Ovis aries: one gene and its partners. The protein of the gene in region 2 interacts with the protein of the main gene of each other region in a biochemical or structural test. Links are inferred from orthologs where the notes say so. Each region holds a gene or a part of one and is shown on either strand. Other genes may lie near its edges.

Region 1 (3,749 bases), on a different chromosome or scaffold from region 2:
GAGGATTTAAAAATTGTTCTCCCTATTGGGGTCCCAGATGGGCCAGGCTCTCAAGGAACTAGGTGTGACATTGTTGAAGAGACACAACAGACAACATAATTTCAGCTACTTAAATTTTAATTTTAAAAAGTATTTTACAGGGACTTCCCTGGTGGTCCAGTGGTATAAGATTTCACCTTCTGATGTAGGGGGTGTGGGTTTGATGAAGACCCCCTGGAGGAGGGCATGGCAATCTCCTCCGCTGTTCTTGCCTGGAGAATCCCATGGACAGAGGAGCCTGGTGGGCTACAGTCCACAGGGTTGCAAAGAATTGGACACAACTGAAGCGACTTAGCATACATGCATGGGAAGCTAAGATCCCAGATGCCTTGCAGCCAAAAAACCAAAGCATAAAACAGAAGCAATATTATAAAAACTTCCATAAAGACTAAAAATGGTCTACATCAAAAACAATCTAAAAAGAAAAAGAAAAGTATGTTACACACTCAAAAGAAAAAATGTAGAAGAGCATTCAGCTTCAAACATTAAACAAGGTCTCGTTCTAGTGAAAAATGAGGAAGTTTGGGGGAAATATTACTTAACAGCACATCTTGAAATACAAGAGAGAAGGAAACAAAGGTTGAAAGGTTCTAAAAAATTTGATAGCTTAGCATCAATTGAACAAAAACCATATTCTCTACTAACTACAGATGATAAAAGATACAACGCAATTATCAACACTCACAATGGACTTAAGTTTGATGTCCCAAATGCTAAAAGGTAGGCCCTGTATGTCAAAAGGCACAGACAAGTCCGCATGAAGGCAAAACACCAATGAAATGATTTATTCTCTCATCTAAGGCCCATCAAATAGATACATCTGGAACATCTTTGGACACAGACTGATTTTTGTACCTCAACCAGCACTTTGGGATCTTGGACAAGAAGCCTGGAAATGTTTGATTTGTTCAGGATCAAGATTGCTGGAGATGACTAGGAGGAGTCAAAGAGAAGGGGGAGGGTTTGGGGAGGGGAGGCAGTGGATCCCAAGTCCGCTGTTCACTTCTTGCCTCTGATTCCCTAGGAGCCTCCTGCCTGTGCTCAGTGGGGATCACCCACTGACAATACTGATGACCTCTGTGTTTTGGTCTCAGAGCTTTTGGGCCTTTCATTCTCTGTCAGTATGTTTCTGCCCCACATGAAGATCAACACGGCTTCCCTGTCTCATTAACCCCTTTGGGGACTATTTAAGCTAAGTCAGGGTGGCCTTCCTGGGAAAACTACAAGGACAGAAACATTACCAGGCATTCGTGTCTGCATGCATTGGGAGCACAGGCCACATCCTGCAAGGACCTTCTTCCAATAGTCCTCCCCTCTCTGTCCATCCATCCACCCCAACCCTTTTGTGGCAGAGGCGGAGCAGAGAGGGGAGGGGGGAATTGAACCCTAGGGCAGTAGCCAAGCTGCTAAACTGCTGACCTGGTTTTCACTGAAGTGCGAGAAGGAGGCTGTGAGGCAGGTAGACAACATCCTGTTGTTGGGGCGCTCCTTTCTCTTTTTTGAACATCTGGCTGAACAGGGAGGCAGGTGGCTGAGTCGTGCCTGGTTGCGGCGGCAGCAGCAACAGCGGCCTTTCCCTGCTACTGTCCCCTGGCCATGGACGCGGTGGCTGTGTATCATGGCAAGATCAGCCGGGAGACGGGGGAGAAGCTCCTGCTCGCCACGGGCCTGGATGGCAGCTATCTGCTGAGGGACAGCGAGAGTGTTCCCGGCGTGTACTGTCTGTGTGTGCTGTGAGTACATGACGGGGCCCTGGAGCCCCCACTGCCCACCGTGCGGCTCACGTCCCTCACTGGGGTTGTCTCGCCTGGGCTTCCTGCTCTTCAGAGGGTCTTCTCCAGCGCCTTTGGGGGCGGCTGTAGGAATGCTCTTTGCAGTGGAGGAAAAGGAGCCTAGAATTTACCTTTGCTGCCAAAAGGACTCAGGCTCCTGGCTTCAGGTTGGACCTCTGGTAGAGGCCAGCAAGGTGGAGGCCTGGGATGAGGGAATGGCCAGATATAGGGCCACCAGCTCCTCAGAGGAGAGGCCTTTCTCTCCAGCCCTCTGGCAATGGCTTTGAAGGTATCTTCCCAAAGGAAGATTTCAAATTCAAGGAGAGGAAGAAGACTAAGAAATGGAATCCTTTAAGACAGCAATACCAGTTAGGTCAGGATGTGGGAGAGAGGGACGTTTCTGAATAAAACCACCTCTCTGGATTTGCTTAATTAGCTTTCTTTACAGGAGTTGGAGGGGGGTGGGGTGGGGTTTCAGAAATAGGGCCTTTCCGTGATAAACGCTGGGAGAGACAATAGTCGTAAAGGACATGGAGGGAAAGCACCCTGGTATGATTCAGCTTTGCCCTTTACCTAAGCATCTCTTGGTCTAAAGCCCCATTTTGAATCAGATGCACCTTCATCTTTGCTCCAGGGCTCCAGGGTCAGGCAGAGCTAAGACCTAATCTTGTGCTAGTCTGATGCTGGCTTTGGCAAGTTAACCTCACAGTCCCTCAGTTTTCTTGTCCAAAAAGTGTAATATTACTACCTACCTCATAGGACTGAGCATTAAATGCTGTAATGCACGTAGAAAATTTAGCACTGGACCTGATGCATACTAAGTGTTCAGTAAAAGTAAGCTGTTGTTGTTATTATTTTTTCACTCTCTTTCAGTACTTTTTATTATAATATATTATATATATATATAAAATGTATATATATTTCAGTCAATATCTTTAAGTACTCACGGGGTGTTTCTAAGGAAGTCCCTAGCTCAATCACTCTTTGTTAGCAGGGTAAAAACACTCATGAAAGCAGCAGCCCTGTACAGTAGCTTCTAGACAGAAACAAAATGAGGGAAAATGCTTGGTTGTAATTTTGGTGTCTGATGATACATGGCAAGATTTTGAAGTTCCTTTAGGTCATTGATGAGAGATTGTATTGAGCCTGGTGTTAGAGGATTTTCATTGTTTATTGTATTATTTTTAAATGGGCAAGGCATATTTGTGGCAACTCTCAGGCCATGCTAAAAACGTTTGTTATAAAAGCTACAAGGGATATATGTGCAAGCTAGTGAATCCCTTGGGCTCAGATTTTAGGTTTTCCTTATATTATTGTTTCTCGAAAGTGAAAACTGGGGTAGGTCAGTGAAAGCCAACTCGTATTCCTAGGCTCTTTTCTTATCAATAGAAGGTGGAGGAGTGAGTGAACTGGTGAGAGGAGCTTCTTTAGGAAAGCTCACCAAAGGAGGTAATGGGACCCTCAACCTAGAGGTAAAAATTAAGGTACAAAAGGCCTGGGAAGGGAAGGAAGAGCCGGGGACAGTGTGTGGCAGGATGTTCCTAAGACTTCAGACGCACTGGCCTCTTTGTTGTTTCTCGAGCTTGCCAAGCTGCTCCTTGCTTAGGATCTTCACACTTAACTGTTCCTTCTCCCTCTTCTCTCAGAGAGGACTTCCTTGACTAGCCTCTAAAATAAGTCCCTTCTCCCTGTCCCAGTTATAATCTGTCACTTTAGTTTTCTTCTGGGAGCTTTCAGCTGTCTGACGTTTGCTTGTCTACTTTTGTCTTGCTGGGCTCTCCTGCTACAATGTAATCTCTCTGGGGCAGAGACACCATCTCCCGCACCAGGAACACAGCCTGGCATGCAACAGGTATCATGAGGCATGCAACAGGCACTCAATAAATGTTTCTGAATTAATGAATGAACTGTCAAGGCAAATTCTTTATGGCAGTAGGC
Region 2 (3,749 bases):
ACCCAGAAAATCATTGCTGCCTTTTTTTTTTTTTTTGGCAGGCAAGTCTTGCATTCTGCCTCCCCTCAGCCCAACTTCAGACACAGTGACTGGAAATGGATCAACAGATGGAAAAGGAGAAGAAAGGCTGAACTGAAGGGAACTGAAAATATTTTCTGCTGAGGGGAAAGCAGAAGAAAAAGAAGGGCAAAGAACTCTGGGTGCGGTCTCAAAGCTATTGAGTTCTGGGGAAAGTGGGATGCCTCCACCCCTCCATGGCAGTGTGAAGAGTCAAAGGCTGCCTGGCCTTTCTGGAAGGTGGGATCAAAGTGTGTGTTGGGGGGGGGCAGCAAAAATGGGTCTACATGCAGTCTGGGTGGGAGAAGCTGAGAAGAAAGAACTATTACGGGAAAGTAGAAAAAGAGGATGGGAAGGAATTTAAAAGTACATCGGAAGCTAGGCAAAAGGATATTATTATGGAAACATTTTAATTTGGATGTGCTTAAGGTTGAAACTTTGGTATCAACCTTCAGAAAACCCCCAGGCTGCTAGATTTTTCCAGTGCCTTTACTTGTCTCCTTTGGCATTTCACCTATTTATATAGTGATCCACTTTTCAATCTACATCCTTCCCAAACCCTCTGTCCTTCATCTTCACAATGTCTGTTGGGATTGGACAGGCTTACACAATGGCTGTTTGGTCCCCATATAGTTTTCTCTATATTGCCAGTAGGATGCAGAGAATTGGGAACTTTCTTGGGCATCTGTCCTTTAAACAAAGCAGCTGGGCTGGGGCAGAGCTCAGGACAAGATTTCTAAGTTGGTTTTGTGAGTCACTGTGTATTCTGAGCATCCGCCCACTTGAGGCGAACTTCGCAAGTTTAGCTTGTGGGAACTATCAGACCAGGTCCAGGGACTGGGGCTTCCTCAACAACCCTGCTAGCGTTCAGCTGATGAGAACATCCTCAAGCTGAGGAAATTGTGGCTGAAGCCTGACAGAGTTCTGCTCCCTGTCACCCTTCTGCTGATGGGTGGCTGCTGAGCTTGTGCAGGGCAGAGTATCTGGTGGGAGGGGAGCTGGCTTGACCCCTCTGTGAGCTTCTTACATTTGTTCTGTGGGCATGCTGGGGCAAGTGCTTGCCCTCACACTCCTCCTGCTCATCAAGGGACATCAGGGCCAAGGTAAGGAGGCCCAGCCTGGTAGGGGTGGGCTGGCATGGACCAGGAGCTGTGGCCTTCAGGGAAATCAGGATGTGAGCCTCCGGATTGTGCTGCTTACCTGGTCACCTGAACCTGTGACTCGGAGCAGCTCCCTGCAGCTCTGGGCAGGCTGGGTCAGACAGCAAAGGCTGGCAGTGGGTTGGGAGGTCTTTGAGAAGTGTGCATCTGGCCATGCCATCAACAATCCAGGCCACCTTGGCAAGGTGAGTCCTTCGCACCAGCTTCAGTTTTCCTTTCTGTCTAGGGGGGAGAAAGTGTCCTCTCTGCTGGCTGTAAGAATGAAATATCCTCTCATTTGGTGCAGTTGCCAAAAGAGAGAAGAAGCGGCCATGAACTTTCTCAAAGGAAGTCGAGTGGTTCTGAAGCTCAGAGACTGACAGATTATTCTCTGAGGCAGGAAAGTTGAGCCCTGGCAAGTGATAGGCGGTGTGGAGTGGGGGAGGGGGATAGGAGGCGTGAGATGAAGGCCTGAACAGAGGCTTTACTTGCAAGAGCTGGTCCCTCTCCATCAACTCTGTCAGCAGCCCAGAGGCCAAGTGAGCCTGAGAATTATTAGGGAAATGTTGACTGGGGGCTTTCCTAGTGGCTCAGATGGTAAAGAATCTGCCAGCAATGAGGGAGACTGGGGTTTGATTCCTGGGTTGGGAAGATCCTCAAGAGAAGGGAATGGCTACCTACTCCAGTATTCCTGCCTGCAGCGTTTTGTGCACAGAGGAGCCTGGCAGGCAGAAGTCCATGGGATCACCAAGAGTTGAACATGACTGAGTGACTAACACTTTCACTTTGGCTGGGGGCAGGGGGCGGGGAAGGGAAGAGAAGGAGACACTATTAGGAAGTTCCATCACAAACTGAAAACTCTCAGGTGGGCCCTGAGCCAACAAATGAGGGGGTAGGGAATCTCAATGAGGGGTGCTCCCCCTTTCTCTCCAACCTTGTCTAGGATGCTCTGAAACTTGGAGCCTGCATTTTAAATCAGTAACTCTTTGCAGGGCATGGTGAATGGAGGTGGAATGAGAGGAAGGCACACTTGGTTGCAAAGGGAGGAAACTGAGGCACAGGGAAGTGTTTGTTTAGGGCCTGTTACAAGCTGTCCCTGGGTACCCAGTTCAATCACTGAGCCCCTGGCACTCAGATATCCTTCAAGAAGAAGATTCTAGGCTCCGGCATTTGCATGAGTACAGGTGGAGTAGGGCATGGTGTGATGAGGAACAGGGAGCAGAGAGAGAAGTCTGGAGCCTGGGGATCATGTATGTGGGCTAGGCGGGGATCCAAAGATACAGGATCCCAGGCAAGAAAGCTAGATTAGAACCTTGAAAGCCAAGGTAGGACCCACAGGGTTTGATGCCTGGCTTTGGGAGTGCAGGAACAGAAGGTCCGGGCTGACTCTGAGATCATGAGCCTACATGATGCTCCCTCCATCCTTGTGGCACTGTCTCTGGGCACGGCCATGCCAAATCCATTGCAGGGGGAAGCCAGGTGGCGATTCTTTGAGCACTGGAAAGGATGGACTTGGGCCTTACGGAACTTTTCTCTCTTCTTACTATACACTGTGTCTGTGGGGCTGGCCTTGAGTAAGTTGACTGAAACTGCTATAGTTATTTGTTTCAATTTTTAAACGTCTTAGTTTAAAATAATTTTGACATTTCAGGGAAGTTGCAAGAATAGTACAAAGAATTCTTGTATTTCCTTCATCTAGATTCACCAGTTGTTAACATTTTATCACATTTGCTGTATTTCTCTTTCTCTCCAAATATATGCATGTGTGAATAGCTGTATAATAATAATAATTTTTTGTGGAATATTCAAGGGTAAATTGCAGACATCACCCCCTTTTACTCTTAACTATTTTAGCACACATCTTCAAAAACCAAGAATGTCCCCATATCATGATATCAGCACAGTTATAAAATTTAGTAAATTTAACATCAATGCAATCAAATATATAATACATATTTAAATATTACCAAATGTCCCCCCAGTGCTGTGTGCATGCTTGCTAAGTCGCTTAAGTCGTGTCCTACTCTGTGTGACCCTATAGACATAGCCCATTGGGTTTGTCTGTCCATGAGATTCTCAAGGCAAGAATACTGGAGTGGGTTGCCATGCCCTCCTTCAGGGGATCTTCCCAACCTAGGGGTTGAACCCACATCTCCTAGTCTCCTGTATTGGCAGGCGGGTTCTTTACTATTGGAACCACCTGGGAAGCCCCAGATGTGTGATATAACATCTTTTTTTTCCCATCCAGAATCCAACCAGGATCACATATTGCATTGTTATTATGTCTGTTTTTTAAATTATTTGTTTATTTGGCTGTATTGGGTCTCACTTGTGGTGCAAAGGATCTTCTTCGCTTCACGTGGATCTTTCATTGCAGTGCATGGACTAAACTCTCTACTAGCAGTTGGGTCTCTCGGGTTTCAGTATCGGAGACATGCAGGCTTAGTTGCTCCAAGGTACGTGGTATCTTAGTTCCTCAACCAAGGATCACACCTGTATCACCTGCATTGCAAGGCAGATTCTTAACCACTGGACCAGGGAAGTTCCAGTTGC
Region 3 (3,649 bases), about 100 Mb from region 2:
ACTGACACAGACAGTCACAGACTGACAGACTCACTCACACACACACACACAGACTGACAGACTCAGACTGACTGACTGACACAGACTGACAGACTCACATGCACACAGACTGAGAGACACACTGACACAGACAGACTCACACACACACTCACTGACGGACAGATTCACAAATACACACAGACAGACTGAAAAGACACAGAAAACTCACACACACATTCACATTCAGACTCACATGCTCTCTTACACACACAGACTCACAGATACACACACACACACACACACACACACACACGCAGCCCTCCGCTTCTGTGTCAGTCCTCTGAAGCAGCCTGACCGGTCCCACTGGCTCACGGCTGAGAGCAGCGTTTCCACCTCCGCCTGAGTCTCTCGATCTAGACCAGAGGTCACAACCTACAGCCCGTGGCCGAATCAAGCCTCCGCCTCGTCTGTAGGCACAGTTCTCTAGAACATGGCCGTGCTCTTCCAAGTTCCCGCTATCTGCAGCTGCTCTCGTGTGCTGGCAGCGGGGCTGAGAAGTTGCACATAGCCTGAAAAGACTAACATATTTACTACCTGACCCTTCACAGCACGGCTATTGACCCCTGTCCTTGATCGCTGACACTCAAGGTGGGGTCTGTCAGCCAGCAGCCCTGACACCACTGGGAGTTCGTCAGAAACACAAAACTGTCTGGCTCCTCCTGAGAGGTGCTGAGTCAGAACCGCATTCTGGCAGATCCTCAGAAGCACTGGGGTAGACCCCGAGTGCATGTAGTCTGGGAGGACCATCTGGAGCAAGTGGAGGCTGGGAGGACCACCCATCCCAGAAGGGATAGACACGCGAGTGTGGGCAGAAATGAGCTTACGCAGAACACACCCCCCCCACCCCGGCTCACCCAGCGTGTTGGCGATGCCCGTCTTCACGTTGTCGGTGCAGATGTGGCTGATCCGGTTCTCGTGCTCCGGCTTGGCCAGCACCACGATGCGGATGTTCCAGAGAGTGTGGATGGCGATCTGGAGAGGGGGACAGTGCTGTGACCCTGGGCCAGGACACACTGCTTGACCCCAGAGCAAGGGTTTCACACCCAGCCCTCTCCCTCAGGTGTGGGGCGGCCTGCCGGTCATCCCTATACTTTAGGGGACCCCTAAGGATACTTCACAGGTGATGCAAAGTGTCTTAAAGATAGGGCCAGCACTGACTAGATTTCAAGGAAGTAAAGGTTACCTACAAGCTCGGGCAAGGGAGAGGGACCACACCAGTGATTAGCAATGCCCAGGGACACCATTAATTATTGGATACAGGTGACCTTCTCTGGCCCTGAACGGCAGGGGGACCACTGAGCACACTCTTGCCCCGGAGATGCTCCCAACTTGCCAGGTCCACTGCCCTGGTGTCCCACCCGGGGCCATGGCCCCCACTCACTGTTTTAAAGGTCATGCTGGTGATCTCTTGCAGGGAGTGTTTGAGTATCTCCAGCCACTCCTTCTCTCCCAGGGGGTCCTCCTGGGTCCCGATCACATAGATGTCATGGGGGATATAATCAGCTGAGTCATCCCGCGTCTTTCCCTGCCCCTTGGAGAGAAACCAGGACGTGATCTTCTTGGGAGGGGGGGCGTTACCTTCAACAGCAAAACCCAACACCAAGTGAGTCAAAGGTACATCAGGAGAAGTCAGAACAGATGTAGGGGAAACATGGTCAGGGGTGGGGCAGGGAGGGTCACAAAGTCACTGAAAACCAGTCAGTTTTCAGTGAAACCCAACGAAATACCTTAGGTACAGAGCTAGGTACTATCATGTCCCAGGATGTTACATTGCTTTGTAAAGACAGCATTAAGTTTCAAAGGCTAGAAGCACCCAAAGATTCCACATAGCAACTTGAACTCATAGCATAGATGTCAGCCACTGTCCTAGTCGTTGGGGCTATAGTGGTAACTGGGACACAGGCCTTGAGGAGATTACTCTCCATTGTCTCCATTGAGACAGCACTGTCAACTGACAGGTTTAGGATGGAGCCTTCTAACCCACAGTTAGGAGACAGCAAAGCCCTCATTGCACAGGAGAGGTCTTAGCCAAACACTGAGAGAGGCCATGCAGGAGTCAGCCAGAGGAACCGAAGAGCCTGGAGCCCCTACCCACTGCCCACCTCCACTGCCATTGCAAAAACTGAGCCGAAACAGCTCAGTAAAGAAACAATGATAAAGATTTATTTCCCCTCAAATCTTGGAGGTTGAGTCAACATTTTTTCCCCCAGAGAGAAAACCGTCCTGGCTCACGACTGCCAAGAAGCCAAGAACTGGAGTGACCTGACCTCTGCTCCCACTGTGATTCAGGGTGGGAACATAAGCCCTGGGGCCTGGTGGTCTCTGCTCAGGGAGACCCTCCCAATCTGCCCTAGTCAGTTCCTTCCATGGCGTGTGAAGGGCATGTCTGCAGCTGTTCACCTGGACGGTGCACAGCCAAATCAAAGACTTCCATGCTTGCAGAAGGAAAGAGGGGAAAGGGCCAGGTGCCTGTGGGCACGAAACCCCAGGTGTTAGAGCGGAGGGACTCAGGCGGCCAATAAGAAACAACGGCAGAGAGTGAGGGACACAGGAACTAGGCCAGCATTCTGTTGGGTTGACCAAAAAGTTTGTTCCAGTAAAACCCAAATGAGATTTTTTACCAACCCAATACTTCAGCGTGGCTGTGACTCTTCAGGTTTCTTGGGCATGAAGACCTGGGGAAGCTGAGGCTAGTGCAACCAGGATGGGGACAGCTCTCCTGAGTTCCCTGAGTCCAGCCCATCTTCCACCCAGCGACAGGCCAGGGGTCCCATGCAGCTTTTTCATTCAGATTCCCACTCCTTCTGCTCAGCCACTTCCTCCCAGGTGACTGGTCTACTGTATCGGGAGGGTGGTGGTCCTGATTCTGCTCCAGACCAAAGTGGGGGAGACATGCCCAGTTAAATTCAAATTTCAGATAACCAATGGATACTTTTTGGAATAAGTATGTCCCGTGCAGTATCTAAAATTCAAATTGACTGGAACTTCTGTATCTACTCAATTTTTTAAAATTTCTAATTGAATATTTAAACTAAGTAATTACTTAGTATAATTCATATTAGTGTAAAAATGTGTATTAGCACCTGAGTATACACTATGCATGTTTAGCACAAAGGATATTTGGTGTATATTTGCACTTCTAACTGAACTGTTATACTAAATAATTATTTAGTGTAATTATATTCAGTATACTTACTATAGTATGTTATTGTATTTAAGATATTATATTTGGTATATATTAGTATGTAAATATACATAGCATATATATTTAGCTTAATATATATTTAGTATGTATTTCTGCTTCCCAGGGGGCTCAGTGGTAGAATCCACCTGCCAATGCAGGAGACACGTGTTCAATCCCTAGGTCGAGAAGATCCGCTGGAGAAGGAAATGGCAACCCACTCCAGTACTCATCTTGCCTGGAAAATTCCATGGGCAGAAGAGCCTGGTCGGCTACAGTCCATGGGACAGAGAAAGAGTCGAACACGACTGAGCAATTGAGCACACACAGGTATGTCTTTCTAGCTAAATTCTTATACTAAAAAATATAGTTGTTTGTTGTTTACATGAAATTCAAATTCAGCTGGGCATCATCTTTTTTTTTTCTCTT

The links.
Region 1: the proteins of CD244 (region 2) and SH2D1A interact in a biophysical measurement, tested with the Homo sapiens proteins (2 studies listed by IntAct). The link is inferred for Ovis aries from reciprocal best matches to the Homo sapiens genes CD244 and SH2D1A.
Region 3: the proteins of CD244 (region 2) and INPP5D interact in a biophysical measurement, tested with the Homo sapiens proteins (2 studies listed by IntAct). The link is inferred for Ovis aries from reciprocal best matches to the Homo sapiens genes CD244 and INPP5D.

Annotation. Positions count from the first base shown.
Region 1 is NC_056080.1:108,291,040-108,294,788, forward strand, and holds the start of SH2D1A (SH2 domain-containing protein 1A), read left to right. Parts: upstream 1-1,460; 5' UTR 1,461-1,635; coding exon 1,636-1,772; intron 1,773-3,749.
Region 2 is NC_056054.1:112,102,598-112,106,346, reverse strand, and holds the start of CD244 (natural killer cell receptor 2B4), read left to right. Parts: upstream 1-878; 5' UTR 879-1,099; coding exon 1,100-1,160; intron 1,161-3,573; exon of another isoform or gene 3,574-3,652; intron 3,653-3,749. UniProt on the Homo sapiens protein: Heterophilic receptor of the signaling lymphocytic activation molecule (SLAM) family; its ligand is CD48.
Region 3 is NC_056054.1:7,803,619-7,807,267, forward strand, and holds part of INPP5D (phosphatidylinositol 3,4,5-trisphosphate 5-phosphatase 1), read right to left. Parts: intron 1,618-3,649; coding exon 1,421-1,617; intron 1,012-1,420; coding exon 894-1,011; intron 1-893. UniProt on the Homo sapiens protein: Phosphatidylinositol (PtdIns) phosphatase that specifically hydrolyzes the 5-phosphate of phosphatidylinositol-3,4,5-trisphosphate (PtdIns(3,4,5)P3) to produce PtdIns(3,4)P2, thereby negatively regulating the PI3K (phosphoinositide 3-kinase) pathways.